2 linked regions of the Ovis aries genome follow. The protein of the gene in region 2 purifies or fractionates together with the protein of the main gene of each other region. This does not show direct contact. Links are inferred from orthologs where the notes say so. Each region holds a gene or a part of one and is shown on either strand. Other genes may lie near its edges.

What was found.
Region 1: the proteins of SLC39A4 (region 2) and GOLM1 purify together in Homo sapiens (affinity purification with mass spectrometry; 3 studies listed by BioGRID and IntAct, counting the BioPlex papers as one, with this or other methods). This does not show direct contact. The link is inferred for Ovis aries from reciprocal best matches to the Homo sapiens genes SLC39A4 and GOLM1.

Annotation. Positions count from the first base shown.
Region 1 is NC_056055.1:33,714,983-33,729,729, reverse strand, and holds the start of GOLM1 (Golgi membrane protein 1), read right to left. Parts: upstream 9,682-14,747; 5' UTR 9,520-9,681; intron 9,058-9,519; exon of another isoform or gene 8,897-9,057; intron 8,573-8,896; exon of another isoform or gene 8,391-8,572; intron 1-8,390.
Region 2 is NC_056062.1:13,476,287-13,490,825, reverse strand, and holds SLC39A4 (zinc transporter ZIP4), read right to left. Parts: upstream 7,338-14,539; 5' UTR 7,252-7,337; coding exon 7,051-7,251; intron 6,604-7,050; coding exon 6,319-6,603; intron 5,948-6,318; coding exon 5,752-5,947; intron 5,652-5,751; coding exon 5,509-5,651; intron 5,417-5,508; coding exon 5,245-5,416; intron 4,893-5,244; coding exon 4,720-4,892; intron 4,611-4,719; coding exon 4,473-4,610; intron 4,395-4,472; coding exon 4,266-4,394; intron 4,091-4,265; coding exon 4,036-4,090; intron 3,906-4,035; coding exon 3,753-3,905; intron 3,372-3,752; coding exon 3,184-3,371; intron 3,100-3,183; coding exon 2,971-3,099; 3' UTR 2,825-2,970; downstream 1-2,824. UniProt on the Homo sapiens protein: Selective transporter that mediates the uptake of Zn(2+). Plays an essential role for dietary zinc uptake from small intestine. The Zn(2+) uniporter activity is regulated by zinc availability.

The sequences.
Region 1 (14,747 bases), on a different chromosome or scaffold from region 2:
CCTTTCTCTATGAAATCTTTTGCCTGTAATTTTTGGCTACTGTTGGTGTTTTCAAAATAATCTAATCTCATCACTCTTTCATTGTTTCTAGATTTTGCTTGTATTTTGAAAGACATTTCCTACTCTAAGTTTAGATATACATTTACCCATATCTCCTCTCAACATACCTATGGGTTTCATATTTATATTTAAATATTTCATCCATTTGGAATTTTTTTGACCTAAGAAGTAAGGAAATACAAAGAAAACTTTCTTTTTTTTGGAATGGCCAGCCAGTTCTCTAGCACTCTCTTATGCAATAATCTATAACTCAGTTCTCTGAAAGGCCGTCTTTGTCAAATGCTTAAACCCTTAACAATACACTTTTAGATGGGATCCTCATTTCATCTTTTGTTATACCTGCAGATGTGAGTCAGGATGGTGTACTGTAAGTTTGAAAACACTGTAACTCAATTCTCACTTCAAGGAAGTTACAGATGATCATTTAACATTCTGCTTCCTTTAGCCAGTCAAAAAGTTTAGTCAACAGCTGCGACAGAACAGGTTGCCGTGCTAGCAACAGGAAGCCAGGGCAGCATTAAGAGAACTCAGAACCCAGTGGCCAGAGGCAGACTTGGCTCCACCTCTTAAGCACCACAGAACCCTGGACTGTCTTCCTCAGAGGGCTTAAATGAGGAATATAGACCAGAAAAGATAAGAGAAGTGCCTGGAACCACAACTGACACATAGTTTCAATGGCTCAGGGAATGCTGACTCTCATATTAGAGGCTTCCCTGGTGACACAGACAGTAAAGAATCTGCCTATAATGCGGGAGACCTGGGTTTGATCCCTGAGTCAGGAAGATCCTCTGGAGAAGGGAATGGCACCCCCACTCCAGTATTCTTGCCTGGAGAATCTCATGGACAGAAGAGCCTGGGGGGCTACCATCCATGCGGTTGCAAAGAGTCGGACATGACTGAGCAACTAACACTAATCATTAATAGAGATGGAAAGATGAATAACAAATCATTTCCAGATCTGGCCTTTTCTGCAGTTTATAAGAAAAAGGTGATGAACATCTTCTCTCCTCAGTTGTTCTACTTTATAGGAACCAGCTCCTCCGTCAACTCTGCTGTCCACTGAAGCAGCAGTCACTGCCATCACTGGGCTGACTCACAGATGCTGCTGCAGCAGCAGACATCCTAGACTAGGACCCTAGTATGCAAGAGAGAGGTTCCAGGAAGCTGAGTACAGTCTCAGAGGCCCCTCACCTGACCCAGCACTTGGCAGGTCAGTCGGTGTGCAGCCGCGCAGAGGGCGCAATAAGGAGAGCCCTGGGCTCCCAATGGACAGAGGGGCTGCCCAGGTAAGCAGATGACCATGATGGAGAAAGGGCCAACAGTGACCCTTCGTCCTGTAACGTGCCTCACCCAGGACTTCCAGGATTGCAGAAACACTGCTGCCCAAGATGAAGGGAGTCATGGCCGGGAAAATGCCAAAGCCTGATGAAGACTAAGGGCAGGCACTCAAAGGCAGGGTTGTCAAATGTTTCAAACACTCTACTCTCCTCCACTTTGGAAATTACACAGACTGGCGGTGATGGAAGTGGGTCAGAGACAGTCTATGTCAGACAGATTAACAGTCATAATTTTGGCTTCACAATGTGTTTTGTCTTATATTTGATTATAGTTACTTGACATGCTGAAAAAGATTAACCTAAATAGGACACGACTGAGCGACTGAACTGAACTGAACTAAAATCAACTAAACGCTGTGAAATTCCAGGTGTATCTGCATTAAATGTTTCTTGGCAAGTTGGAAGAGTCATTTTTTAAAAAATGACTGGCTTAGTTAATTTAGGCAATTCAATCTACTGGTTAAAATTATTGTTGCCTTTTAAGCAAAAATTTTTACAAGAGAACAGAGACTTTTTTTGTTTTAAGAAAAAGCATAAGAAAATGGGCAACTGGTTAAATACATGAGCCCTTTGAACTTCCTAGTTAAATAATCTTTCCATTTCCTCATTTTCACATAGAGGTTTTTAATCAATAAGCAAATACACAAGCAATCAAATCAGATTGACTTGTTTAACCAATGTCATCACTGCAGGAACAACTCAGCTTCTCCAAACAATATGGGAGCTGTACCTTTATTCCTTCTCAGAAGAAATGGCCTTACCAGGTGGGCGGAGGGCCTGAGCCGGAAGTGCCCTCAACGGAGCCGGAAGTGACCTGAATGGAGTTCGGAAGCCACCTCAGTGAGCAAACAGATCGCAGGATGTCCCACTTAGCGCTGAGGTCTCAGGAATTGGTCACCAACATTTTTTTGGAGGGTTCAAAGATACTCCACCCCACCCCAAGAATGTCTCCAAGGCAGGAGTGAGCATACTGAGGCCTAGAGCCATTAGCAGCCCATTGTGTAAATAAGGTTTTGGTGAACACAGCCACGCCCAGCCCTTGAAGTACTGCCCACAGCTGCTTTCTGCCTACCAGGCAGAGTTGAACAATCAACACGAGGATTTACTCAAAGGGTTAGAATGAAGACTGAAGCAGTTAGATGTATTATTATCTGGCCCCTCTGGGGAAGTCTGTAAACTCCTGTTTAAACTATTAGGGTTAAATGACAAGTCCACTGAATTCTCCTTTTAAATTCTTAAATTCTTTTAAAAACTTACTAGGAAGTATACAATTCTCCTACTCCCACTTTCCCAACCCTCAATTTTCCCCCAATTCTAGAACCTAACAGTTTAGAAAGAAAAACCTTTAACAGCATGGTAACTACAATAATACCATATCACATATCATAAAGTTGTAAGAGAGCAGATCTTAAAAATTCATCACAAGAAAAAAAAATTGTAACTATGTGCAAATTATTAGATTTATAATAGATTTATTGTGGCGAGCATTTTGCAAAGTATACAAATAATGATCTTTACGCTGTATACCTGAAACTAATATGTGATGTCAATTATGCTCAATAAAATGTTTTAAAAAGAAAAAATGTCAAAATTCATGTGTATATTTAGTGCTATGGAGTAAAAATACCAAAGAGTGAGACGGATGAGTGGAAATGAATGAGAAACAATTCCATTGTGTTTCTTCCAGCACTTGACTTTCTGCAGAAGGGCCAACTCCCCTGTGGACGCCACAGCTACACGATAGCAAGTGTTCCCAAATTCCTCCTCTTGTTTGGGAGTCAGCAAGCTGCAGCTTCAGGGCAGAATCCTGCCAGCCACCTGTCTTTGTACACTGTCTAAAAGCTCAGGTTTCAAGCTTTTTAATTGAAAAAAAAAAAAAAGAATAAAATTTCATGACACTAGAAGTACATGGAATTAAAATTTCACTGACATAAATAAAGGTCTGTTGGGACACAGCCATGACCATTCATTTACATATTGTCATGACTGTCAGGCTATGAGAATTGTGTAGCTGTGACACAACCCACTGGGCTTGCAGAACCTAAAATACCACCTGACTCTTCACAGAAAACATTTGCCAACACTTGCTGTAGTTCAACAGTTCTTAAAGTATGGTCCCTGGACCAGCAGCATCAGCATCACGTGATTATCAAGTTCTCCAGGTGATGCTGATACAGGTCAAGATTGAGAACTGTGCTCTCCAGAGCTCACTGGACAGGTCTCACAAGTGCCTCTTGATCTGGTCACACTCAATTATTTTTAAGAAGCAGAAAGGCATGTTGGAGAGGGTGCGTTATTTATCTTTGGGGAAACATTTCTATACTGTTTAAACATTTCCGTACTGTTTAAAGGTTGAGTTTGGATTCCCCAAACTTCCTTGGCTTTTGGCTACAGTCCACCAGGCCCTTCTGTCCACAGGATTCTCCAGGCAAGAATACTGGAGTGGGTTGCCATTTCCTCCTCCAGGGGAGATCTTCCCAACCCAGGAATAGAACTTGGATCTCCTACATTGCAGGCAGATTTTTTACTGTCTGAGCCACCAAGGAAGCCCCAGTCAGAATGAAGTGATCACTATTTCCAGAGCAACATGGCTTCTACAGGACCCTCCCTCACTGATATAGAAAACAGAGAGGAAAGATAAGGTATCATCTACCTGCTGCATAGATATAAATGATGGAGAGCATTTTGATGGGGTAGACCCTCCAGTTCTGGCAGCACTGGAATCAGAGAAATAGCTTAGAAAAAAATTTTTTTCTAAAATCATTAGTATATTAAAATTTTGTCCAAGAATTCACCAAGGCAATTCTTTTAAAAACTAGTAATAGCAAATGAGCCATCTTGAAATTCCAGCCCAGCTGAGCCTCAGAAGACTGCAGTCCAGTCAACTCACAGAACCAGAAGCAATAACTAAACAATGGTTTTAAGCTTGCAACTGATCTGTTATGGAGCAACAGATGATCAAAACATAAACTGTTACATGAAAAAAGTTGTAAAATAGTAATGTTCATATCCCATTTTTGTTGAAAATTTTTAAAAATATACTCAATAAATCAATCGTCATGAAGTTGCTCAGTCGTGTCTGACTCTTTGTGACCCCATGGACTGTAGCCCACCAGGCTCCTCCATCCATGGAATTTTCTAGGTAAGAGTACCGGAGTGGGTTGCCATTTTACATTTCTCTATAATAGAAAATGTACAGCAAGTGCTTATAAGGAAAGATATTTACAAGTTGGAGCAAGAGAGGAGGAGGTAGAGAGGAACAGAAAGACTTCATTTTTTGCTTTATATCATCTTTTTTTCCCTCAAGGAGCCTATCTTTAATGCAAAAGCCAAACAGTAACAATAAAAAATTAAGATGCTAGGAAGATATACAATGGTAACATTAGCAAGTTTTGAAGTTATATTTCTAGCATTCCCAGATGAAATCACAGTATTTTACAGCTTCCTCTAAAACAAAACAATGATACCATATGTATGCATTCTGAAGCAGAAAAACAAACTGAACTCATTCAAATACATTCCCAGCTCTCTTCTGTGCTGGCCCCCACCACTGGGGGCACTAAGAAAACCCAGGTTCCTGTCTTGAGCCTGGGCAGAAAACTGAGAGGAAACACACGGCAGCCCATTTCTGAGCTGGCGACGCGGTGGTTCCTCATCTCCTCCCAGCCTCCTGGGCTCCCCTGTAAAGGCTTATCCCTGTCTTCCAAAGCCAGTGTGGAAATTAAATGAGAGCACTTACTTGTCACCAAGCAAATACTAACTGAAAAGAACTACTGTGGTATTAACCCTTTAAAGTCTCAGTTTACTCATTAAAAAAAAAAAAAAAAAAATGGGGAGTGTGATCCATTATACCTGCATTCACAGGGTTCTTCTGAGAATCAGATGAAAGAATTACCTGAGACTAAAGTGAGAGAAACAGCTGTCTACCAGCAGGGCTTATGCAGCCCAGAAGGTATAAAAGACGCTCCACCTGGGCTGGGGGAAAAATCCTAGAAGTTACATTTATTTTTGTCCAAAAAGTAGAATAGCAACTATGTTTAGTAATGTAAATATTATACCAACAAGTTAAATATATTATGTGTACACTAATTACTTTACACTGTGTTACACTATACTAATTATATTACCATGAAATACTAACAGTGCTAATAAAAGCAGGAACTGACTGCACCCTCACAAAGTCCCTTTGTCAAGGGTCACCTGTCACCAGCCCTCTGAGGTATCCTTTGACTGGGCAAGCACACAATGAGATAGATGCACAAATTAAAATGAAACTAACCCTCACAGAGGATATGAAGCTTTAAGGTCCCCATAAAAAGCACAGATAGTAATAAATGCAAGCGCAGGGGGTTAAGAATGCACTTCCCACCCTGAGTCAGCTTCATCTGAGCGACATCACAACAACGATGATATACTCAGATCTAACAAGATCCAAACCAAAAAACACCCTCAAAATTAAAGGAGTATTTGAAAGAGGGTTTTACCTCCACAATGAATCCAGCCCTAAGTGTATACTGGATCTTGAGCTACAACATCAGCTCATTTATTAATTTATAATATAATTATATAATTTATAATTATTAATTAATTTATAATTAAGTAACAAACACACATACAGAGGAGTACTAAAAACTGGTCTTAACTGAGATACAACTGACATTATGCTGTACTGGTTTTAGATGTTTATTTTATTTTATTTCTTTTTTTACTAACAAGAATGAGCAAAAAAGCTTGGAAACCACAGCAAACTATCTCATTATACAGTATTTTTACATATGTGTTCTTCCTGTCAGGCACTAGTTCATCATCAAAATCTTAGTGAGAGGAAGTTTTATTAATGCAGTCTTGAAAGAGAATAAGATTACAATGTAAAAATCTGAGAGGGCGTGCATTTTCTTTCCTGAAAGTGGGGGACAATTTCTTTGTGAAGCAAAGAAAAGCTCTCTGGGAATTTTGGAAATAATCCTTAAACTTCAAGCCAAGACTCTCTTTCAATGTAATTTCATCAGTAACTTGAAAAAGTCTAGAAAGCAGCCACACTCTAAGACCATCCTAGGGGAGCAAGTGGAATGCCACTCACAGTTTGTTAAGGTGAAAGCCCCCATGGTGCAGCAGGCAAAGAATCTACCCGTCAGGAGATCCCCTGGAGGAGAACACAACAACCCTCTGCAGTATTCTTGGAGTGGACAGAGGAGCCTGGTGGGCTACAAAGAGTCAGACCGAGCGACTAAGCACAAGGGCATATCAAGACTATTCCTTCTACTTTTGTGAAGTTTTAGAAAATAATGCTAACCAAGTTTTTCTTTTAAACAAAAAGAAAAATGATTTTTTTCTTATCCCAATTTCCCATTTCAAGTCACTAAAAAAGAAATCAATCTTTTCTAAGACAACTTATTTTTTTCCCTGTGGCTCAGATGGTAAAGAATCTGCCTGCAATGCAGGAGACCCGGGTTCGATTCCTGGGTCGGGAAGATCCCCTGGAGAAGGAAATGGCAATCCACTCCAGCACTCTTGCCTGGAAAATCCCATGGACGGAGGAGCCTGGTGGGCTACAGTCCATGGAGTCACAAAGAGTTGGACAAGACAGAGCGACTTCACTTTCACTTTCAAAGCCTCAGGCACAGGGCCTCTTCTCCAGTCCCCGCCTCCCCTCACAGCCCCTCCGGGACTGTTTAAAAGCAGGGCCCCACCACCTCATGTTCCCTTCCACTACACTGCCAGTGATGGGATCCTACTCGCTGCCCAGAATGGTGAGTTGAAAGAGACACCCCACCTTCCAACTCTTCCCACACATGCAGTTTCCCCAGGCTCTGCCTGGCTATCCTTTGTGCTTCGGATGCAGAAAGCTGGCCTGCAACGTTCACAGGATCAGCAGTTCCCTCCTGGCTGGAGGAAGGTAGCCACATAAATGGACTGAAGCTGGCCCTGGGTCAACCATTCTCATTGCTGTTTCAGCCCCACCCCTGAAAAAAACAATATACATGCAAAATCTTTTCATTCCCCCATCAATAACTGGACCAGCAATTAGAAAACAAATGGCACCCTTATCTTCTAACAGCAATATTCCCAAATGCTGACCTCCACTCCTCACCCCCAGCATTCCTGCCTCTCATTCTTGGTCTTTCACTTTCGAGCAAAACCAATGGGGAGAAAAGGTGACATCTTCACAGGAGAAGAAAATATGTCTTGAAGGGTTGTTTTCTTTAAACATCCTAAGAATTCAATGTCTTTTCACCACTGACTCCTTAGAAATTGAGTTCTGACCTAAAAATCGCAAGTCTTAGCAAGCTATTCGTTTCTAGTTACAAATAAACTTATTCTTCACAGTAGCCTGCCCTTAGCTTAATCTTCTCTAACATAGGGAGGAGGAGCTATGGATGGATGCTCTAGGAGACCCACAAGTACCAACAAGGGATTCAACTTCTCAGGCCCCATGCTACAAAAAAAATTCAGAAATACTAAAACTGCCCAAATTTGAGTCAATCTCGGGGCCAGGAGCCAAACAGAGTCACTCTAAACCTGTTAAATATGTAATCAGGCTACTGGACTATTTTACTCTGCCCCTAGGAATGCCCCTCAATATTTGCATTATTTAGGGCAATTGGACCTTGGAGACCACAAACCAGGAAACTCAAAGCCGTGAAAGTCACACAAGTTTGGTTTTGCAGATTCGGGAATGGGATATCTCAAGCATCACCACGACTTGCCGAATGCAATGATTCTAAAATTCCGCTAAAACGAACGCTCATCGAAACAGGTATTTTGCCTATTTTGTTTTACCGAAAGACAGTCATTAAAATATTAAGTAAGATGTGACATATAAAGAGGATGTAAACCCAGGAGAATATTTTTACAGGAGAACAGAAGTTTTGTGGATCCTCCACGCCGCCAAAGGTGGGAAATACAGGTACAGAAGGAACCCGGAGCATCCCTGAGACGGGATTAGGAAGAGCTCTGGCAGCTCGCGGACCGAAGACCCGGTGTCAAGCTCACCTGCCAGGACGACACTGCTGCCAACGTGGGCACCGCGGCGGCGGCTCGGGGCGGAGGGGGAAAGAGACGAGCGGCGCGGCCAGCCAGCCCTCCCCGCGTGCCAATCACGCCCGCACCGCTGCCACTAGCGCCACTTCGGGGATGCTCGCTTTTGACTCTGGGTGCCGACGCGCGTGACACAGCTAAGAACAAAAAGAAAGGCCCTGCATCGCCCCAGACCGGCCTCCTCCGGGGAGCCCAGCAACGGAGCGGAGCCTGGGAGGCGGAACCCGGCGGGTCGGGGCGGCCCCGGGAAGGAGGCTCCAGCGCGGGGAGGTGTGGGGCCGGCCTCGTGCCCGCTCCGGTAAAAGGCTGCGGGCCGGGCGCCAGCCGGGGGAGGGCGGGTGTTTCCGGGGCCCGGCGCGGGGTCCTTGGGCGCGGGCCCGGGGCCGTGGAGGGACAAGGAGAGAGAAGGGGGCCGGGGCGACCGGGGGGAGAGCCGCCAGGCACGCGCGCCGCCTGCTCACCTCCTGCCGCGGCTCCGGCGGTCGCTCGGCGCTGCCGGGGCCCGGCTCCCCGCTCGCCCGGGCAGCTCTCCCGCCGCCGCCGGCCTCGTGCTCCCGTCCGCCCGGGGCAGCGTCCAGCGCCGCCGCGTTCGCGGCCTCCGCAGCGGCGAGTCCCCGCCTCTGGCCAGCGCCCGCGGCGCGCGGAGGAGGCGGCCTCGGGAGCGCGAGGAGGCGAGGCCGGGACCGCGCCCGGACTCTCGGCCCCGCAGTGCGCGCGCCCTGGCCCGCGGCCGCGGAGCGGCGGGAGCTGGAAAAGCCTGGTCGCGCCCCCTCTCAACCTCCTCCCCAGCTCCTCGCCGGCGGCTCCCGGCGCGCCTTCGGGACTGGGCTCCGACAGACCCGCAGAGCGGTCTCGATGCTTTTAAAGGAGGTGAGAAGCGGCGGCGGAGAGAAGGGCCCCGGGAGACCGCCCTGCCCCCCTACCCCCCGCAACGTCCCCCACCTCCGGCCCGGAGGAATTTTCCGGAACCCAGAGCCGACCACACCCATCGTCACACTCCTAGTCTTGCTCACGTAGTCCCGGCCGAAACTGCCCAGGATAGAGGGGCCAAGGAAAAACAGGTATTTAGGGAATATTTACTCACAAATTTGTCCTTTTTCTTCCACCAGCCCTTCCCAGGTGGGCTTGATCTCCCTACAGCTATTATCTCTCAGCGCTCATTTTTTGGGACACTCCAACTGTGGGCAGCAGAGAAAATCCGAAGGCTCTTGGGCGCTGCCCAAACGAGATCCTCTAGGACTTTCTCAGTATGGAGCCTGGAAATCTGAATTTTAAACAGCACCCAGGTGACCTTCTGGCACACGGAAGTTTGAGAAGCACTGTTGAGCCACACCTACCTGAGAAGATGCCGAAAAACTAGTGACGCGTAGAATAACCATATGAGAAATGGAATATTTCCTGCCATATCAGGAAATAAGACTGTCATCGCCATCAGTGGTTGCAGCCTGACAACGTGAGCCTGTATTCTAAGGGAACACAGGGAGAATACCAGCAGACTTCGCTTGCTCCCTACAGTGAGCCCAGGGGAACTTGGGATGTGAAAACACAGATCCCATAGCTGAGATGTATATAGAAGAAATTATTTCAGTGAGCTGAGACTCTTGCATTGTCTCATTCACAGAAAAGCACAAACTTTCTTAACTTGGGATATCTGCTTTCTTTAATTAACAATAATCTGATGTTCCAACTAGCTGCCCTTTGTTGCAGAACTTCTATAGAACCTGGCTCTTCCTCTCACCTTCTCACAGCAGTTGTCTCAGAGTCACTGTCTCCCGGACTTGAACTCCCTGAATTCCCACCAAATAAAACATAACTCTCAACTTTTAGGTTGTGAATATATTTTAAGTTGGCCTGTACTAGGAAATTATAAAGCAATGATTCTTAACCCTGGTAGCATGAGCCAGACGTTCAAATTAGCTGGGAGATTTTAAAGTATTTAGATACCAGGGTCCCACCTCTAGAGTTCTGAGTCTCAACGTTAGTATTTTTGTTTTAAAGATTGAACACGTGGCCAGAATTGAGAACAATTTTCCTAGAATCATCTCTTTTTGAACCTACCTAGCTCTAGTATCTGAGAAAAGAACCCCCTGGCTCATCCCTCCCAAACCCCAACTCCAGAAGACAAATGGGGACACACACAAACTCCTGAAGGAACTCTCACAGTCAAAACTGGTTTCAACCAGAACAGACGCCTTCAAAAATTTAAGGTTTCCTACTACCACCTGAGCGTGAATCTCCTTAAGGGCAGTTAGGAGAGGTTTTATGAGTCAAAGCCTGAGTCGTGAGCTGACAATAATAGCCCCTTTAGAGTGATATTCTAGTATATTCCAAAATGATGTTTCCATTGCCCGTTGTTAGACTGCCACCTGGTCAAACTAAGTGTTCAAAACCTGTGTGTATGTGTTGACCATCAGCTCTGGCTTGTCCTTGGTCTTGACTTGCAACTCCTGCCTCTGATCCCCTACCAACCTTCAGTGACCATAGTCAGGGTTTTAGAACAGGCGCAGTGTCTTCCCTTGTTACTCATTTTGGCTCTCCTAGTAACACTTTGCCTTCTTAGACTGTGAACCATAACTTCCATCTCATTTGCCTCTAAGTATGTTCCCATTAGTGTCTGTGATTTATCAATGGCTAATTAGTCAGTGACTAAGCCAGTGATTCTTAAACACTTTATAGAAGAGGTCCATATGTCTAGGTACTAGGGAAGCTGGCTAAATTAACTACATCTTTACTGAGAGGGAATCATCCTTTCCAAGTTTCATGGGGATCTTTATGGCAAAATTTGGAATTAGAGTAGTTCTTAAAGTTCTTTTAAAATGCAGTATTTATATATGCAGTGTTGTATATGTGAATTTGGATTTACATTGCTTATAAAGTGCTCTATTTCCTCAAGGCTTCTCATCCAGAATGTTTAACCTAATCAGTTGCTCGCCCTAAAAATTCAAGTGGATAGATTGATTTGATTAAATAAGGGCTTCCCTGGTAGCTCAGATGGTAAAGAATCTGCCTGCAATACAGGAGACCGGGGTTTGATCTCCAAGTCAGGAAGATCCCCTGGAGAAGGGAATGGCAACCCACTCCAGTATTCTTGCCTGTAGAATCCCATGGACAGACCTTGAGGTCACCAAGAGTCAGACACAAGTAAGCAACTAACACTTTCACTTTCAATGATTAAATAATGTGCAAGGGGCTGTTGTGGTTGGTTGTAGTGCACCTGTGTGTTGTCTGTTTAGTTTTCTTTCCGCTAGCTAACAGCACGCTATGTTCATACAGGAACCTACCTCCTACTCTCCAAGGGATACAGCCTTAGTTGGACTGTCAAAGTGATGTCCTCTCTAGCTCAAGGAATAGACCATTGTATCAGTTTTCTATTTGCTACCCTAGCAAATTATCACAAACCTAGAGGGCTTCCCTGGTGGCTCAGAGGTAAAGAATCTGCCTGCTAATGCAGGAGATGCAAGTTTGACACCTGGGTCAGGAAGATCTCCTGGAAAAGGAAATGACAACCCACTCCAGTATTCTTGTCTGGGAAATCCCTGGGACAAAGGAGGCTGACAGGCTACAGTCCATGGGGTTGAAAAGAGTTAGACACTATTTCCGGAACAACTAAGTTGTTAACAACAACAATAGAGTTAAGATGACAAAGTTCTGTTGGTTAAAAATCTCACTGAGCTAAAACCAAGATGTTGGAGGGGCTGTGTTCCTTTCTAGAGACTTTTAGGAAAATCAACTGCATTGCTTTTTCCGGCTTTTAGAGATTGCTTGCATTCCCAGTACGTAAACCCCTTCTTTCATTTTACAAGCAAGCAATCTTCAAAATCGGTAACATCTTTCTAATCCTGCTTCCATAGCACATCTCTCAGATCCAGCTGGGAAGCTTTCTTTGCTTCTAAGAACGCTTGTGATTGCATGGGTCCCACCCAAATAATCCAAGATAATGTCTGTGGCTCAGACTCTTAATTTAATCACATCTGCAAATTCTCTTCTGCCATTTAAGGTAACATTTACAGGTTTCAGGGATTAAGACGTGAACATCTTGAGAGGCCTTTATTCTGTCTGCTACAGACCCCTATCCTCAGCTGATTCATTGCACTCTATTCCTGGGATAAAGCAATGACCCAAAGACGAAAAAGGATCCGTGTGCACGTATGTCAGTGATGGTACCCATCATTTTTGGCATGCAGATCTGTGGGGCTGGTTCCTATGCTCCTCAAAAGCTGACTTTTCAGTTTATCCTGCAATTCTGAGGCTTTCCCCATACCTAGAACTTGCTAGAAAGAAATGTAGTACATAACAGAACAACAGTGTAGAATCATTTTCAGAGTTCTTGGTCACAAACAATAGAAAGAGCCTTTGTAAATCTTCAGGAAAAGGAGTTGATTGGACAAAGGTCAGGGTCTCAGGGCATCAACAGTGAGAATCAGTGAAATCATAAAAATTGATTTTCAATCAGTTTGGAAACCCTGAATGCTGGAGAGGGCTAAGCAGCAGAAATCACTGAAAAAGTAACACAGCAGATAGAGTGAGTTTGGTATATATGCCACACTGCAGCATCTGTAGGAAATACGCCCTCCAACTCACCCCACTTGTTTGCAACATTGCTCAAGACACAAAGTGTCCAGAGGGAGCTTCCAGTTAGAGGGATTTGGTTCTATGTCCATTTACCAGGCTAACTGGGACAACTCTGGTTTCTGTAGCTGGACGTGGCCACTAATTCCACAAAAGGAAATTGAGGTAATGCCTAAAAAAGAGGATTCTGGCAAACAATCAGCAAATGTCCCCCACAAATATCCTAAGAGAAATTCAAAGAGCTGTGGAGCAAGCAGAATTCATGTCGGTCTAGGAAAATCGGGAAAGACTAAACAGAAAATTGGTGTAGGACAGGCTGTCCAACAGAAATAGATTTCAAACCACATATATAATTTAAAATTTTCTAGTAGCTGTATCTTTGGGGTCGCAGAGACTGAACTGAACTGAACGGGACATTTTACACCCAATAAAACGTTTAACAGAAAATGAATACACCACTTCAGTTTTTAAATTTTTATTTATTTATTTTTGACTGCTCTGGGTCTTCGTTGCTGCCTGCCATTTTCTCATTGTGGTGGCTTCTCTTGTTGTAGAGGGCCAGCTCTAGTGCATGGGTTCTGTGTCCGTGGCATGCAGGATCTTCCCAGAGCAAGGATCATCCCATGTCCCCTGCGTCAGCAGATGGATTCTTAACCACCAGTCCATCAGGGAAGTCCACTTTTTTTTTTTTTTAATTTCAGTATAAAAGGAAACATAAAGAAGTCAGTTTCTCCTCGGCACCAGCCACATTTCAAATGCTCAATAGCTACATGTGGCTAGTGGCTACAACATTAGACATGGAAGGTGTAGAAGGATGATGTATCCACTTGGATCTTATCTAGAGAGAGAAAAAGTACACAGTAATTTAAACAGGGTAAATTTAAACATAAAGATTCTTTAACATAGCATCACAAGGGTCTGGCAGGTAAAAAGCAAAGAAAACTATAAATAATGTAGGAATGGGTCTTCCCTGGTGGTCAATGGTTAAGAGACCACCTTGCAGTGCAGAGGACACTGGTTCAATCCCTGGTCCGGGATGATTCCGCATGCAGCAGAGCAACTAGGCCCACGCGCCGCAACTACTGAAGCTTGCTCGCCTAGAACCTTGCTCTGTGCAATGAGAAGCCATGCCAACGAGAAGTCCACACCTGACATCAAAGAATAGCCCTGGCAGCCACAACTAGAGAAAGCCCATGTGCAGCAACAAAGACTCACCACAGCAAAGAAATAAAAATCTAACTAAATAAATAAACCTTTTAAAAAAGAATATAGGAATGGAAGGTATTCTAAGCAGCTGTTATCTCCTGCTCTCAGATCTGCCTGTCTCTCCACCAACCACATGAATAAGACTGAGACCTCTGTGGAGAGGGCTATGGCTCCCTAAGTGGCAGAAAAATTGCTGTGTTGTCAGTAGAATTTGCTGAAAATCTGCCCTCCAGAACCTTCTAGAAATCACCTTCTAAGCTGCCCAGGAAAGCTGTTCATGGGTTGGTTTCTCACTGGAGGTGCTCTCTTACAAAACTGCTCCGGGTGCCCAGGGAAGCTGCAGTTGCTTGGTACTTGTGCTGCAGAGGCTGGGTGCTGCAGGAGACTGGCACAGGCCTGGAAGGGTGGAGAAACACCATTGTCCAGCATGACGACAAGACTCAGAAAAGAGTGAAGCAGAACAATGGGATTAGTTCAGGTAGGGGAGTCATTGCAGATGGGAGGGTAGGATAGAAATGTAAGATAGAAAGGTAGACC
Region 2 (14,539 bases):
ATGCGCCCCTTCCTACGCAGACTTCCACAGCACTTCCAGCTGCTGGGTATGTAGGGCTGTGCCTCTGTCAGTGACAGATGGACTTCCTTGGTGGGTGTCACCACTCTGCCAAGGAGATTTTAAAGCACTCTGCTCTTTTCTGGGATGACAAAAAGAGACTTTCCTCTCTCTTGCCAATCATAACCTCTACTTGCTCTCTTGGTGTAAGACCTACAGTCAATAGACTCGGGGCATGGAGTTACATTTGATATAAATGCCAGTGTAACAAAAGCCAAACCTACTTGTTGGAAATCTACCCCGGGAGCCCCGGTAAATCTACCTTATTTACATGCTAGGCGGACAAGATCCGTATGAGTATGGTATGAGTATATTGCTGCCTTATTTGTACCCTCTACAGGGACAACAGATATCACGATTAAAGTAGAGGCCTTGACTAATTTCACACAACAGTCCCTCCTAGATAGAACAAAAGCCATCCAAGCCTTAAATGAAGAGCAAATCCAAATGAGAAAAGCAGGAATTCATAATAGAATGGCTTTGGACATACTCACAGCTGCTCAAGGAGGGACCTGGGCTATAATTAAGGTTGAAAGTTGTGCACACATTTCTGACTTATCTGGCGATGCATTGACTGCTTTAGATGACGTGAAAAACCAGGTAAAAGCAACGTCAAGTGAAAACACTCCTTTTTGGACTTCGGTCCTATCTTGGGTGAAGGGCGATTGGTGGAAAACTATATTTACCACTGTTATAGTTGCCTTGATAGTTCTGCTTTGTGGACCCTGGATTTTACAATGTATTATGAACTCTGTAACCCGAAGGTTGATGTCATTGTCCCAAATTGGCGGTCAGAGAGCCAGGGTGCAATATATCCCTATGAATGAAGCTCATAATATGAGTTGAGAGCATCAAGAGGGGGGAATGAAGAAGGAATTCATAGGGCCTGGACTCCATCTTAGGCCTGTTCATGCTGATCACGCTTGGCCACCTTTCCAATGGACTCTGAACTCCGTGTTTAGTGCCTATGAAAACAACAACAGAAGGATGCGACCCCCTCCAGACAGGGCAACCTTGAAGATCGTATCTAGGTTACTCATCGCCTAAGAGAAAACATACACTAATCACCCCTTCCTCCAGACAGGCCATAAATTTTTCTGTATCAATCGGAGTGTAACCTCGGGTTTATTGATTAGTGGCTAACTGTTTGACTATTTGAGCACATGAGCACATAGCAGGTGAATGATGGGGTTATTGGGATTGTATTTTCCTTGGTTTATGTAAGTCTCAAGGAATTTGGAGTGGTGGGTTCAGACACGTACTCATGGGGTATAAAAGATTTTCACAAATGCTGGTCGGGGTCCTTGGCTAAGAGGAGACTCTGCCGTGGGCCGCCGGTGTAATAAACTGCACTCCACTATCAGCATCGTCCTTCTGAGTGAGTTTGTTTCCTGGAACGCTTGGCTACAACACTCCTCCCTCCAAATCTTGATCTGGGAGTAGCAGAGGTATATCCCCTGCCTCTCACCCAACATAAAAGTGGCGCTGGTTTGTCTCCATATGGAGCTGGGGCTCCTGCTTCTGGTCCGGTCTTGTCCTAAGAGACTTGCCTTTTCTTGGTGGAAAAGTTTTAAAATATTTGTTAAAATATTTATTAAATATTTGAAATAATCTGAATTTGTGTCCAGAGATATTCAGCCAGTCATCGCTCCATTTAAAAATCAGAGATATTTTTACCCCGGTGAGAGCACATCTCCAACCAAAGGTTTCTCTGTTCTGCTTGTGCTCAACCAGGTGGGCGACTGTCTCAGAGGTTTTCTCTCTCCTTTGCCCAAACTCCACCTAATAAAGTTCTGAGAGCATGAAGAAAAAGTAATTCAAAAAACAAAAAGAACTGGAGCCAGGGCTTCCCTGGTGGCTCAGTGGCAAAGAATCTGCCTGCCAACGCAGGAGACATGGGCTGGATCCCCGATCCAGGAAGATCCCACATGCTGCAGAGCTACTAAGCCCGTGCGCCACAACTATTAAGCCTGTGCTCTAGAGCCTGGGAGCCGCAAAGGCTGAGCCCACGTGCTGCAAATACTGAAGCTCAAGTGTCCTAGAGCCCATACTTCTCAACCAGAGAATCCACCGCAATGAGAAGCACACACACTGCAACTGGGGTGTGACCCACGAGCCCCACAACTGGAGCAAGCCTGAGCAGCAGCGGAGACCCAGCACACCAAAACTAAGGAAAATCGTAAAAAACCCACATCAACCAGCCAGAGCCACCCGGAGGATGTGCCAGAGGAGGGAGTGGGCAAAGCAGGGGCCGTGGCCAGGCCACGGGCCCTCCCTGTCTGAGTCAGAGGGGCAGTCACAGCACTCACATCACAGGGCAACTGTGACGGCTAAACAGCTCAGTGACCACAGAACCCTCAGACTCAAGCCTGGCACGTGGTACATGTCCTTACTGTGCCGTGTGTCTGTGGGACAAAGGGGCTCAGCCTGGAGAGAGCCAGAGGCACTGAAGCAGCTCCGCCCTGGGAAGAGCCGCAGAAGGCCGGCAGGAAGCGCAGGAGGAGGGCCGGGGCGGGAGGTTGCAGTCCTGATTGGACACCAGGTCCTACCTGCTGCCCGAGCCCCGGACCCACTTCTCTGGGCTTCGCTTCGCATGCATCACAGACGCGGGTCTGAGGCTGGTTTCTTGGAGGGCCCTGAGTTCAACTGTCCTGACTCCCCATCAGGCACCAGGCACTGCTGTGGGGAGAGGATGCCCCACCTGTCGACGTTTCTTGGTGGGAAACGTCCTCTCCTGGGGAGGCGAGATGAGGCGAGCAGGCCGGGCTCCAAGGACAAGAGCATTTATTGAAGCTAGGAAGCAGGGCGTGGGGGAAGGGCTGGGCGCTCCCGGAGACGGTGCGTCTGAAGGGCTGCGAGCGCCCAGGGTCAGGAGCCAGAGCCAAGGGGAGGAGGGCGGGGGGGCAGAAGCTCTCAGAAGGCGATGTTATCCTCATACAGCGACAGCAGCAGCAGGACGGTCCAGCCGCCCAGCAGGCCAACGTTGTGGAGCAGGAAGAGGAGCCAGGGCCGCCGGTCGCGGACGTTCAGCATGGCCGGGAGCTGAGGACGGCGCCCGAGTCAGGACCGGCTCAGAGCGCCCGCCCAGCGCCCGCCCGGGGCAGCCCCCGCCCGCCCGGCTCTGACCATGTCGCAGAGCGCCACGTAGAGGAAGAGGCCGGCGGCCACCGCCAGGATCCAGGTCTCGCCGTCTTCGCCTACGCCGGCCGCGAGCGCAACGTAGAGGCCGATGAAGGCCGTGAGCCCCGAGGCCAAGTTCAGGAGCAGCGCGCGGCGCACCGACAGCCCCGCGTGCAGCAGGGCCGCGAAGTCCCCTGGGGAGGGAGGTGGGGGTGGTTTAGTCGCTCCGTCGTGTCCGATTCTTGAGACCCCATGGATCGTAGCCCCCCAGGCCGCTCTGTCCATGGGATTCTCCAAGCAAGAGTACTGGAGTGGGTTGCCATTCCCTTCTCCAGGGGATCTTCCCGACCCAGGGATCGAACCCGGGTCTCGTGCACTGCAGGCGGATTCTTCACTATCTGAGCCATGAGTCGCGGGCGGGGCTGGGGTCAGGTCGAGGGCCGCGCCCACTCCCCGACAGTCCCGCCCAACAGCGCGGCCGACCAGCCACACCCAGACCCCCCGCTGCGGGCAGACCACCCCCCCCCCCCCCCCCGCACCCCGCCCATGGCTGGCGGGAACCCCTCAAGGCTCACCCAGCTCGTGCGGCACCTCGTGGCAGAACACGGCCAGCGAGGTGGCCAGTCCCGTCTTCCAGGAGGACAGAAAGGCGGCGCCCACGGCCAACCCGTCGGCGAAGTTGTGCACGGCGTCGCCCAGCGTGATCACCCAGGGCAGCAGTCTCAGCTCTGCGGGCGCGGCGGGCGTGGGTGCGCGTTTGCCCCGGCCCGTTCCTCCGTCCCCCTCCCCGTCCCCGTGCCTGCGGCCGCGCACCGAGACCCTGACCCCCAACGCTCCGGGGCCTCCCTCAGGGCTCACCTGGGCTCAGCCTCCGGGGCTCCGGGCTCAGCAGCTCGGGGTCCTCCTCCGCCACCTGGAGGGGAGACCGGGTTGGTGGGCGGGCCGCGTAGATTAGACTCAGGGTGGGAAGGTGAGGAGCACGCGGAGCCAAGTCCCCAGATCAGGCCAGGGAGGAAGCCCTGGATGGGTGACTGGGAGCGCAGACAGGGCTCCGCCAGGGCGGGTGACCCCAGGCAGGGCGGGCTCACCAGGTCTGCGCGAGAGCCCTCATGGAGCTGCTTGGGCTGCCGGCGGTCGCTGGGCGCCAGCTGCAGGGACACACCGTGGCTGTGGCCACCGTGGCTGTGGCCATGGCTGCAGGCCCCATCCTTTGGGTCCTGCGGGGACGGAGGCTCAGGATCCACTGTGCCTCCGCCACCCCTGCCCACACCACGCCCAGCCCCCAAGCACCTGACCTCGGGGTCCAGGGGCAGCAAGAGGTTGAAGAGGCTCTCGAACAGGAAGAAGGCATAGAGCCCGCCCAGCACAGCTAGGAGGTGCCAGGTGGTCTGGAGCCCAGGGTCCTCCCCGTCATGGGTGTGCAGCCCCAGCACCTGGTGGGGGGGGTGGGCAAAGGACACTGGACCCGGTGCCTTGGGACCTCCTCCCAGACAGGCGGATAGAGGTTAGGGGTCAGGAAGGGCTGTGGCAGGCTGGGGCAACCTTAGGCATCAAGTGCAGGAGGGCGTCGCCGGTGAGCGCGCCCACAGCCATGCTCAGGAAGGCCTGGATGACGTAGTGGGAGGTGATCCTACAGCTGGCACAGACGAGGAGCAGGAGCCCGAGGACAGAGCACAGGCAGATCAGCAGCGTGGCCAGGGAGCCGTACAGGTACCCTGGGCAGGGAGGACAGTGAGCGCCTCCCTCCCAGCCGTGGCCCCTTGCTTTCCCGGGAGGGGCGTCCAGACCGAGTCTGGGAGGAGCAGGAGCCCCCCAAGGTTGCAGGCAGTCGGGTGCAGTCCTGGCCTCGGCTTCCTGCTGGCCCCTGGCCTCAAGCCCCCATCCTCTTCCCTCGCAGCACCCCCTTCCCTGTTGCCTCTCCACCCTGCTGCCCGGTCTGCCAGCCCTGGCCCCAGCTCTCTGCAGCCCAGCGGCTACTTTGTCCTCCCTGTTTGGTTCCATCTCCTTGCTGCCAGCCCCTTGGGCACCGCCGGGCTGGCGCTTCTAGGGAGTAGGGTGGAGACTCACTCTCAGCCTGGCTGAGCTGATCCTGGGTGGGGAGTGTGGGCTGGGGGCTGCAGGCCCCGCTCAGTTGCTGCTGGAGCAGAGCCGGGCTCAGTCGGGCCCAGTCGTCCGGCGTCACCCCAGCCTGCTCAGACATTCCGTACACAGCCATGATGTCTTGAGCACTCAGGCACAGCTGGGGTGGGGGTGACAGATCTGGTGTTCAGGGCCCTGAGCGGTCCATGGGCCCCCACCTCTTTCCGGGACTCGGGCACATGGACGGCTCACCGTGTCCCACGCGCTGGCGCTGCTGTTGGTGGTGGTAAGGGGCACGGGGCCCTGACCCTTTCCCAGAGGACTGTCGTCACTGTGGCCGTCATGGGGCTCTGCCGCTCCGCCCAGCCCCAGGCGCTCCATCAAGGCCGCCAGCTCTGGCAGAGGGTGAAAATCCGTTCCAGCCCTGCACTCCCCAGGGGGGCGGATGCTGGGGTTCAGGGCACTCCCTGCCCCGTAGCCCAGCTCAGGCCTCACCGTCCAGGGTGATGTTGGGGTTCTCGCTGCTGTGCTGCCGGAACACGAAGTCCACGAAATACTGGGGGGTCGGCAGGGCGTGGAAGCAGGCGCCGCTCCTGACATGGTCCAGCAGGGCAGCCAGCACCGGGCCGGGGCTGCCGGGAGCCCCCACCCCTGCCGCCTCCCCCAGCAGCTGAGGCAGGTCCACACAGGCCTGGGGAGGAGCCGGCCTCAGTGTCTCAAGCAGCGCAGCCACACTGGCCTCTCTCTCCGCAGTGCCCCGGTGCCCCCGGACTCCGCTGAACTCCAGGCACCGCAGCTGTCCCCTTCCCGGCCCCGCCTTGTCCGGGCTCTTCCTTGGAGCCCTGGGAGCTTTCTCAGCCCCGTCGAGGATCAGGGCCCTCTCGGGATGCCTGCAGCCCTGCCCGGCTCAGCGGTGAGTGTCCACTTGTGACCCCCAACCCAGGCTCCCCTGAGCACTCAGAAAGGTGCTGAGCCCAGCGCCACCCAAGTGGTCCCCCTTCTCTCACTCCCTCTCGGACCCTCTTCCCCTAGTGCCCCTGGGTAGCTGGCCCAGGTGCCCACCTGCTGAGAAGCGGGCTGGCCAGCGGCGCGGGCTTGGATCCGCTGCAGCAGCCTAGTCAGGGCCGGGCTCAGGGCCTGAGGGCTCTCGAGCAGGACCAGGAGCTGGTCGGCACGGGCAGCCCAGCGGCCAGCCCGGACCTCGGCGCAGGTGCCCACCGGGTCGCTGAGGTAAAGGGCGGCGGCGGCACTGAGGCGGGCGATGTGCCTAGGCTCCAGGGCCGGGCCCAAGGGGGCCTCGGGCTGCTCAGGCCTGCCCAGAGCCAGGACGTCGTCCACAGACAGGCACTGTTGGCACAGACGGGCGGGTGGGGGCCATACACGAGGGCTGCCACCCTCCTGTCCCTCACGCTGGTGCCCTCCACCGTTGGCTCGCTCACAGACCCCTGCCCTCCCCCGTGACAGTCAGGCACACCCACGGAGGGTCCCCCATCCCAGGGAGGTTTCTGCGTGGAACCATTTTAAATTTTGGGGTGGGGAGAGGGGGGTGCTGAAGGGGTGGGAGGGCAGCCGTAGGATCCCAGAGCTGTACCCCCCCACCCGGGGAGCTCAGAGGGCTCTGAAAGGGAGCAGAGGAGAGTGGGCTTGGGCCTGCGGGCAGGGCCCGGCATCAGGCACCGCGCGGCCCGCCTTCTGGAGTTTGCCCGGGCCCTTTGCAGCCGGCCTCGGCCTTGGGGTGGAGCGGCGGGCTTGGGCTGGGGCCGGGCCGGAGGACCCGTCGGTTGGGGGTGTTACCTTTCCACACGGCCCGTCGGCACAGTGCACACGGGCCGCCAGTGTATTTAACAGGCCGCCCAGCGCCACGCGGTCCAGAGCGCCCTGGCCTGAGGACAGCAGGGTCAGCAGACGAGCAGGGGTGTTCGTCGTCCCCGACGCTGCCAGCGCGGCCAGCACAACCAGCAATGGCCCCAGTCTGGGCCGGCCCAGGAGCGCCATGCTGCAGCAGCCCAGTGCCTTGAGCTCAGGGTAGGCCGTGCTCGCCTGTGTGGCTGCGGGCCGCAGGGGCTGCCTGATGCTAGACTGGGGCTGGGCCGGGACGGCCCGCCCGGCGAGGCTCTCCAGGCATTTCCTGCGGGGCCCTGTGATTGGCTGCCAAGGCGTTGCCGCAGGTTAACCATTCCAGTGGGAGTCCTCCCTGAGCCCGGTGCTGCTGCCCCAGGGTGAGGCCGGGGTCCCTGGGTGGATGGGCTTGGCTCACCCCTCTGCTTCTTCAAGGGTCTTGTTACTGAATGCAAGTCTGTGTGCAGGACACATGGTGACGTTGAAGCTTGCAGCAGAGAAAGGTTTATTGTGGTGCCGAGCAAGAACAGGTGACTCATGTTCAAAATCCCTTAAATCTCTGGATGGCTTTGGGGGGAGTCTGCAATAGGCAGAATTTGGGAAGAGGGCTTTCTCATAATTGGTTGGTGGAGAGGTAGCGGTGGTGCCCTGGGCTCCCTTGCTAGGCTGGGACCTTAGTCCTGGCAGAAAAGCTCAAGAGACCCTGCCCCAAAGCTGTAGTTTCTCAACTGCCCCTCCTTGGTTTCTGTGTCCCGCCCTTCCCAGATTAGCAACTATTTGAACCTGACCTTTGGAATTCAGGAGAGGTCTTAGGGGACTGAAGGAAGCCTGTTTCCTACAAGGAGAAATGGAGGACCTGGAAAGGATTTTACTGGGAAGGGCCCTACAGGGTGCAGTTCATTTTCCATCTCCGTGCCCCGGCCCCCTTTTTAACTTCTCAATCTTGAGAACAAGTGTTGGACAAAAAAGGAATGACATTTTGTGTACAGAGGTTAAGCATAGACTTGGCAGAGGAACTTGCTTTTACGGGGCCTCGGTTTCTGTCCGGGTTGGCTTCCTGTGGCCCTCTCGCTAGGGGCTGCCTCCAAGCCGAGGGCGTCTGGGGCACAGGTTCCAGGAGGCCACTGGGGCTGTCCCCCACCCCACCGGAGAGCTCCAGCGCAGCTCGGCCCCCCTCCCCACCCCCACCCCCCCACCGCTGCAGCATCTTGCCCCTCAAGGCAGCTCAGACACCGCGCAGAGCCCTACCTGGGGGTGGGGTGTGGGTCCTGAGCTGTGTTGAAATTCTCAGGGTGGACTTGCTGGGGCCCATGTGCGGAAAGCAGGAGAGACTGCATCCTGAAGCCTGTCATCCATCTTAAAGAGAGGATGTGACCTGGGCCTGAGCCCTGCCGGAGAGTGAGGAAACCATTGCTAGTGAAAACCAGGTTTCCTGGAGGCTTCCCTGGTGGCTCAGAGGTTAAAGCGTCTGGGAGACCCGGGTTCGATCCCCGGGTCAGGAAGATCCCCTGGAGAAGGAAACGGCAACCCACTCCAGTACTCTTGCCTGGAGAATCCCATGGAGAGAGGAGCCTGGTAGGCTACAGTCCCTGGGGTTGCAAAGACAGGACTGAGCGACTTCACTTCACTCCTTCCGTACAGGTGACAAACGGAGATTGTAGTTGAGGCCAGGCTGCCTGTTAGGTTAACCATGGAGACATCCCCCCTTGATATATAATCATTGTTCCCCCCTTTAGTCTTAATTGTTTGTTCTCCTAGCACCTACTTGTTTTGAAACTCAATCATATGCAACATAGAGGTTGCTAACATGTAACCAGTCGCGTAGTGGGGGGTATGAAACGGGGCCTCTCAGAAACATCACGGTCCTTGTTGGGAACAGATCCCCGTTGGACCCCCTGGCGTAATAAACTGTACTCCACTGTCTTGAGTGTCCTCCGAGGTGTGTTTTTGACTCCGGATTCCACAACAGAATCAGGGGGAACTGAGATGAGGTACTGAGTCATACTCCCTCTCCGGCCTCCAGGGAAAATCCCCGGGAAATGGCCAAAGTGCCACATAAACAGAAGGGAGCAGGAGCCAGGCTTCTGCCCTGGGCACTGGTCACTCCACCTGGGAAGGGGCTTGGGGGTGGGGAGAAGTGTGGCTCCCAGCCCTGCCCCTCCCTGCGGGCTCTCACTCTGGCCTTTGAACCCCTAGGCCTTATCTCTGCCTAGTTGGCAATCTGGGGAAAGGGGCAGACCGCGGGGAGCCAGTCGCTTCCGCCCAGGCAGGTCTCAGGGCAGCCTTGCCTTCTAGAGGGAGTGTTTAGGTGGCCCCTTGCATGCCTGATTGGACAGACCCCTCTGTGGGGTGTGGTTGGGGTGGGGGAGGAGAAGCTCTAAGAGAGCTGGGAGCCCAGGCCTTGGGACTCTGTCCCAGCGTCCCCTGCCACCTGGGGCAGGGCACCTGGCCAAGCAGGAGCCATGGGCTGAGTTCAGGCGCAGTCCTGCCCCTCCCTCACTGCAGGGTGACCTTGGTGGGCTTTGATGGGGTATGGGGAAGTGGTGGACTTGGAAAGAGCCTGAGGGTTCCTGGACCCCTGGGTCAATTAGGAAGGGCCCCCTCACACAGTTGTGAAGTCCATGGGTCAAACTATCCCTTTTCCTATCCCACCTTGCCACGGCCATTGGGCCGGCCGGAGCTGAGCCACCTCATCCTGCACTCTTCGGGCCTGGAGAGCTTCAGGGAAGAGGTCTCAGCGCAGACGTCTGGTCAGCCCCCCAGGTCCGGTGTGCAGGCCTGACCCCACTGGCAGGCCCCCGGGTCTCAGCGCCCCTCTGTGTGGGCCCACGTTTCCCTGCTTCATGTTTGCCCCAGCCCTGCCTTCCTAGCCCAGTTCTGCCAGAGCATGTCAGCAGCTTCCCTGCACACATGCCTGTCCACCCTCAGTGCTGGGCAGACCCCCAGATCCCTCCTGCATCAGCCCATCCAGAATATCATGTTCACTGCATGATATTCAGAGCAGCCCTAGAGCCCATCCCTGGATGGAGAGAAAATGGCTCTAGACATTTCTAAAATGTCTGGATCATCATTCTCCATTTTTGGCTGCAAAGAATATAATCATTCTGATTTCAGTGTTGACCATCTAGTGATGTCCATGTGTGGAGTCTTCCCTTGTGTTGTTGGAAGAGGGTGTTTGCTATGACCAGTGTGTTCTCTTGGCAAAACTTTATTAGCCTTTGCCCTGCTTCTTTCTGTACTCCAAGGCCAAATTTGCCTGTTACTCCAGGTGTTTCTTGACTTCCTACTTTTGCATTCCAGACCCCAATAATGAAAAGGACATCTTTTGGGGGTGTTAGTTCTAAAAGGTCTTGTAAGTCTTCATAGAACTGTTCAACTTCAGCTTCTTCAGCATTATTGGTCAGGGCATAGACTTGGATTAGTGTGATATTGAATGGTTTTCCTTGGAAACAGAGCATTCTGTCATTTTTGAGATTGCATCCAAGTACTGCATTTTGGAATCTTCAGTTGACTATGATGGCTACTCCATTTCTTCTAAAGGATTCTTGCCCACAGTAGTAGATCTAATGGTCATCTGAGTTAAATTCACCCATTCCAGTGCATTTTAGTTCGCTGCTTCCTAAAATGTCAACGTTCACTCTTGCCATCTCGTTTGACCACTTCCAATTTGCATGATTCATGGACCTAACATTCCAGGTTCCTATGTTAACAAGACCAGGAGCTGACTGTGGCTCAGATCATCAACTCCTTATTGCCAAATTCAGACTTAAAATGAAGAAACTGGGGAAAACCACTAGACAATTCAGGTATGACCTAAATCAAATCCCTTACGATTTTACAGTGGAAGTGAGAAGTAGATTTAAGGGACTAGATCTGATAGATAGAGTGCCTGATGAACTACGGACAGAGGTTCGTGACATTGTACAGGAGAGAGGGATCAAGACCATCCCCAAGAAAAAGAAATGCAAAATAGCAAAATGGCTGTCTGAGGAGGCCTTAAAAATATCTGTGAAAAGAAGAGAAGCAAAAGTAAAGGAGAAAAGGATAGATATACCCATTTGCATGTAGAGTTCCAAAGAACAGCAAGGTGAAAAAAGAAAGCCTTCCTCAGTGACCAGTGCAAAGAAATAGAGGAAAACAATAGAATGGGAAAGACTAGAGATTTCTTCAAGAAAATTAGAGATATCAAGGGAACATTTCATGCAAAGATGGGCTCAATAAAGGACAGAAATGCTATGGACCTAACAGTAGCAGAAAACATTAAGAAGAGGTGGCAAGAATACACAGAACTACTACACAAAAAAGATCTTCATGACCCAGATAATCATGATGGTGTGATCCAGAGCGAGACATCCTGGAATGTGAAGTCAAGTGGGCCTTAGGAGGCTTCACTACGAACAAAGCTAGTGGAGGTGATGGAATTCCAGTTGAGCTGTTTCAAATCCTGAAAGATGATGCTGTGAAAGTGCTGCACTCAACATGCCAGCAAATTTGGACAACTCAGCAGTGGCCACAGGACTGGAAAAGGTCAGTTTTCATTCCAATCCCAAAGAAAGGTAATGCCAAAGAATGCTCAAGTGAGTGAGTTTAAAGTTTCTCAGTCGTTCCGACTCTTTGCAACCCCAACTATACAGTCCATGGAATTCTGCAGGCCAGAATACTGGAGTGGGTTGCCTTTTCCTTCTCCAAAGAATGCTCAAACTACTGCACAATTGCACTCATCTCACACCCTAGTAATGTTCAAAATTCTCCAAGCCAGGCTTCAACAATATGTGAACCATGAACTTCCAGATGTTCAAGCTGGTTTCAGAAAATGTAGAGGAACTGGAGATCAGATTGCTAACATCCGCTGAATCATTGAAAAAGCAAGAGAGTTCCAGAAAAACATCTACTTCTGCTTTATTGACTATGCCAAAGCCTTTGACTGTGTGGAGCACAACAAACTGTGGAAAAGTCTGAAAGAGATGGGAATACCAGACTACCTGACCTGCCTCTTGAGAAATCCGTATGCAGGTCAGGAAGCAACAGTTAGAACTGGACATGGAACAACAGACTGGTTCCAAATAGGAAAAGCAGTACGTCAAGGCTGTCTGTTGACACCCTGCTTGTTTAACTTATATGGAGGACATCATGAGAAACGCTGGGCTGGAGGAAGCACAAGCTGGAATCAAGATTGCTGGGAGAAATATCAATAACCTCAGATATGCAGATAACACTGCCCTTATGGCAGAAAGTGAAGAACTAAAGAGCCTCTTGATGAAAGTCAAAGAGGACAGTGAAAAAGTTGGCTTAAAGCTCAACAGTTACTCAAAGTAAGATCATAGCATCCGGTCCCATCTCTTCATGGCAAATAGATGGGGAAGCAGTGACAGACTTTATTTCAGTGGCAGACTTTATTTTTTTGGACTCCAAAATCACTGCAGATGGTGACTGCAGCCTTGAAATTAAAAGACACTTAGTCCTTGGAAGAAGTTATGACTGAACTAGACAGGATATTAAAAAGCAGAGACATTACTTTGCCAACAAAGGTCCATTTAATCAAAGCTATGGTTTTTCCAGTAGTCATGTATGGATGTGAGAGTTGGACTACAAAGAAAGCTGAGCGCCGAACTGATGCTTTTGAACTGTGGTGTTGGAGAAGACTCCTGGGAGTCCCTTGGACTGCAAGGAGATCCAACCAGTCCATCCTAAAGGAAATCAGTCCTGAATATTCATCTGAAGCTGAAATTCCAATACTTTGGCCACCTGATGCGATGGACTGACTCATCGGAAAAGACCCTAATGCTGGGAAAGATTGAAGGTGGTTGGAGAAGGGGATGACGGAGGATGAGATGGTTGGATGGCATCACCAACTCAATGGACATGAGTCTGAGTAAACTCTGGGAGTTGGTGATGGACAGGGAAGCAGGGATGCAGTCTGTTGACTTAAAAACAAAAAGAAAACATGTACAACTTAAGAGCTGTGAGTTAAGTTTTATTTGGATCAAAATGAGGACTGCAGCCCAGGAGGCAGCATCTCAGCTCTGAGAAACTGCTCCAAAGTGGCAGTGGGGGAAAGTCAATATATAAGGTTTTGGTGAAGGGGGAGTCCAATACCATGAAGCACTCATTTCACAAAAGGTTTTTTGTTAGTCATGAGGATCTGACTTCACCATGAAGGGAAATATTTAGTGCTTCTCTAGACGGGAGGAGATGCAAGGATTGAGATAATGGAATATGTTCATAAAAACATCCAACTATCTAAAGACCAGTCCCACCAGATTCCCTGGAGCACAGAGTGCCTCACTCCACCCTGAACTCCCTCAGGGGGTGTTGAGGTCTCTAGTTTTCAGAATCCAGAATGGTAGGTGGAGGTGGCAGGAGTAGTGGGCGCCTGTGAGAAGGGTTCTGGAGATGGGTGGGTGGAGGCAATGAGACCCCAAGGACCCTCCCTGGCCCTCTGCCCCTTGACCTCCCTAGACAGCAGGGCTTTGGGGCTAAGCCCCACCCACTCCCTCAAGGTCACTGGGAGGAGCCCCGAAGGCCAAAGGAGCCTTGGGCCTCCCAAGACTCAAGCCTGAGTGCAATTCCCGAGTTCTCTCCCCACTGCTGTCTCTGGACCAGCAGCAGCGACTGTGGGCACCACACACAGCACAGTCCACACTGACGTCAGCCCCCAGCTGCCACCCTGCTCTCACACAGACACACACACACACGCGTGAACTCTGCTCCCCTCAACACACATACACAGCTCTGAGAGCCTCACTGGCATCCAGGACTCCTGGGTACAATCCTAAGCCTTGCCGGTCCCCACCCCACCTGTCTTCCTGCACCCCTCTCCTCCTTTTCCAGCAACCCCGCTCATTCCCGTCATCCTCTGTTCTTGCTGAGTCCATAAGCGCACCTCCTCACTGCCCCCTCGAAACACCACACTTTACCTTGTTGCCTTTAGAAGCCAGATACGAAGAACCACCACTAAGAAAATGTTACAGTGAAACTGGCTTGTCCCTCGTCCCAACGCCACAGCTGCTGAGAATAACCCACCTTGGCACCCAGAGCCTTGGTCTCTGGTTTACTGCTGTCTGCCTGAAGGGAACGGATGTGAACAGCATGGAACCGAGGTCCCGGAGCAGGCACAGGGAGCAGGGGGTGCTTCCCCACCAGGCTTTGGGTGAGGCCAGTCCAGGGGTTCTGAACTGTCCACTGGCTCTGCTCCTGGGTCAGGACTGCCCTTGGCAGCTGTCAGCTGGGACTCCAGTGAGCCCTGCGCGAGGACGGGTCCTGCTGCAAAGGCGTGAGCCTGCCCCAGCTGCCCGTCTCCAGGGCCAGGAGATGCTGGTGGGGCTGTGGCCAGACCACCAAGCCCAGGCAGCACAGCCTCCTGCTCTCAGACTGGGGGTGGCTGTGGCCGGCAGATTTAGTCACCCCTGCCTGCTTGTCAGACTGTGCCCACCAGGGAGGCCAA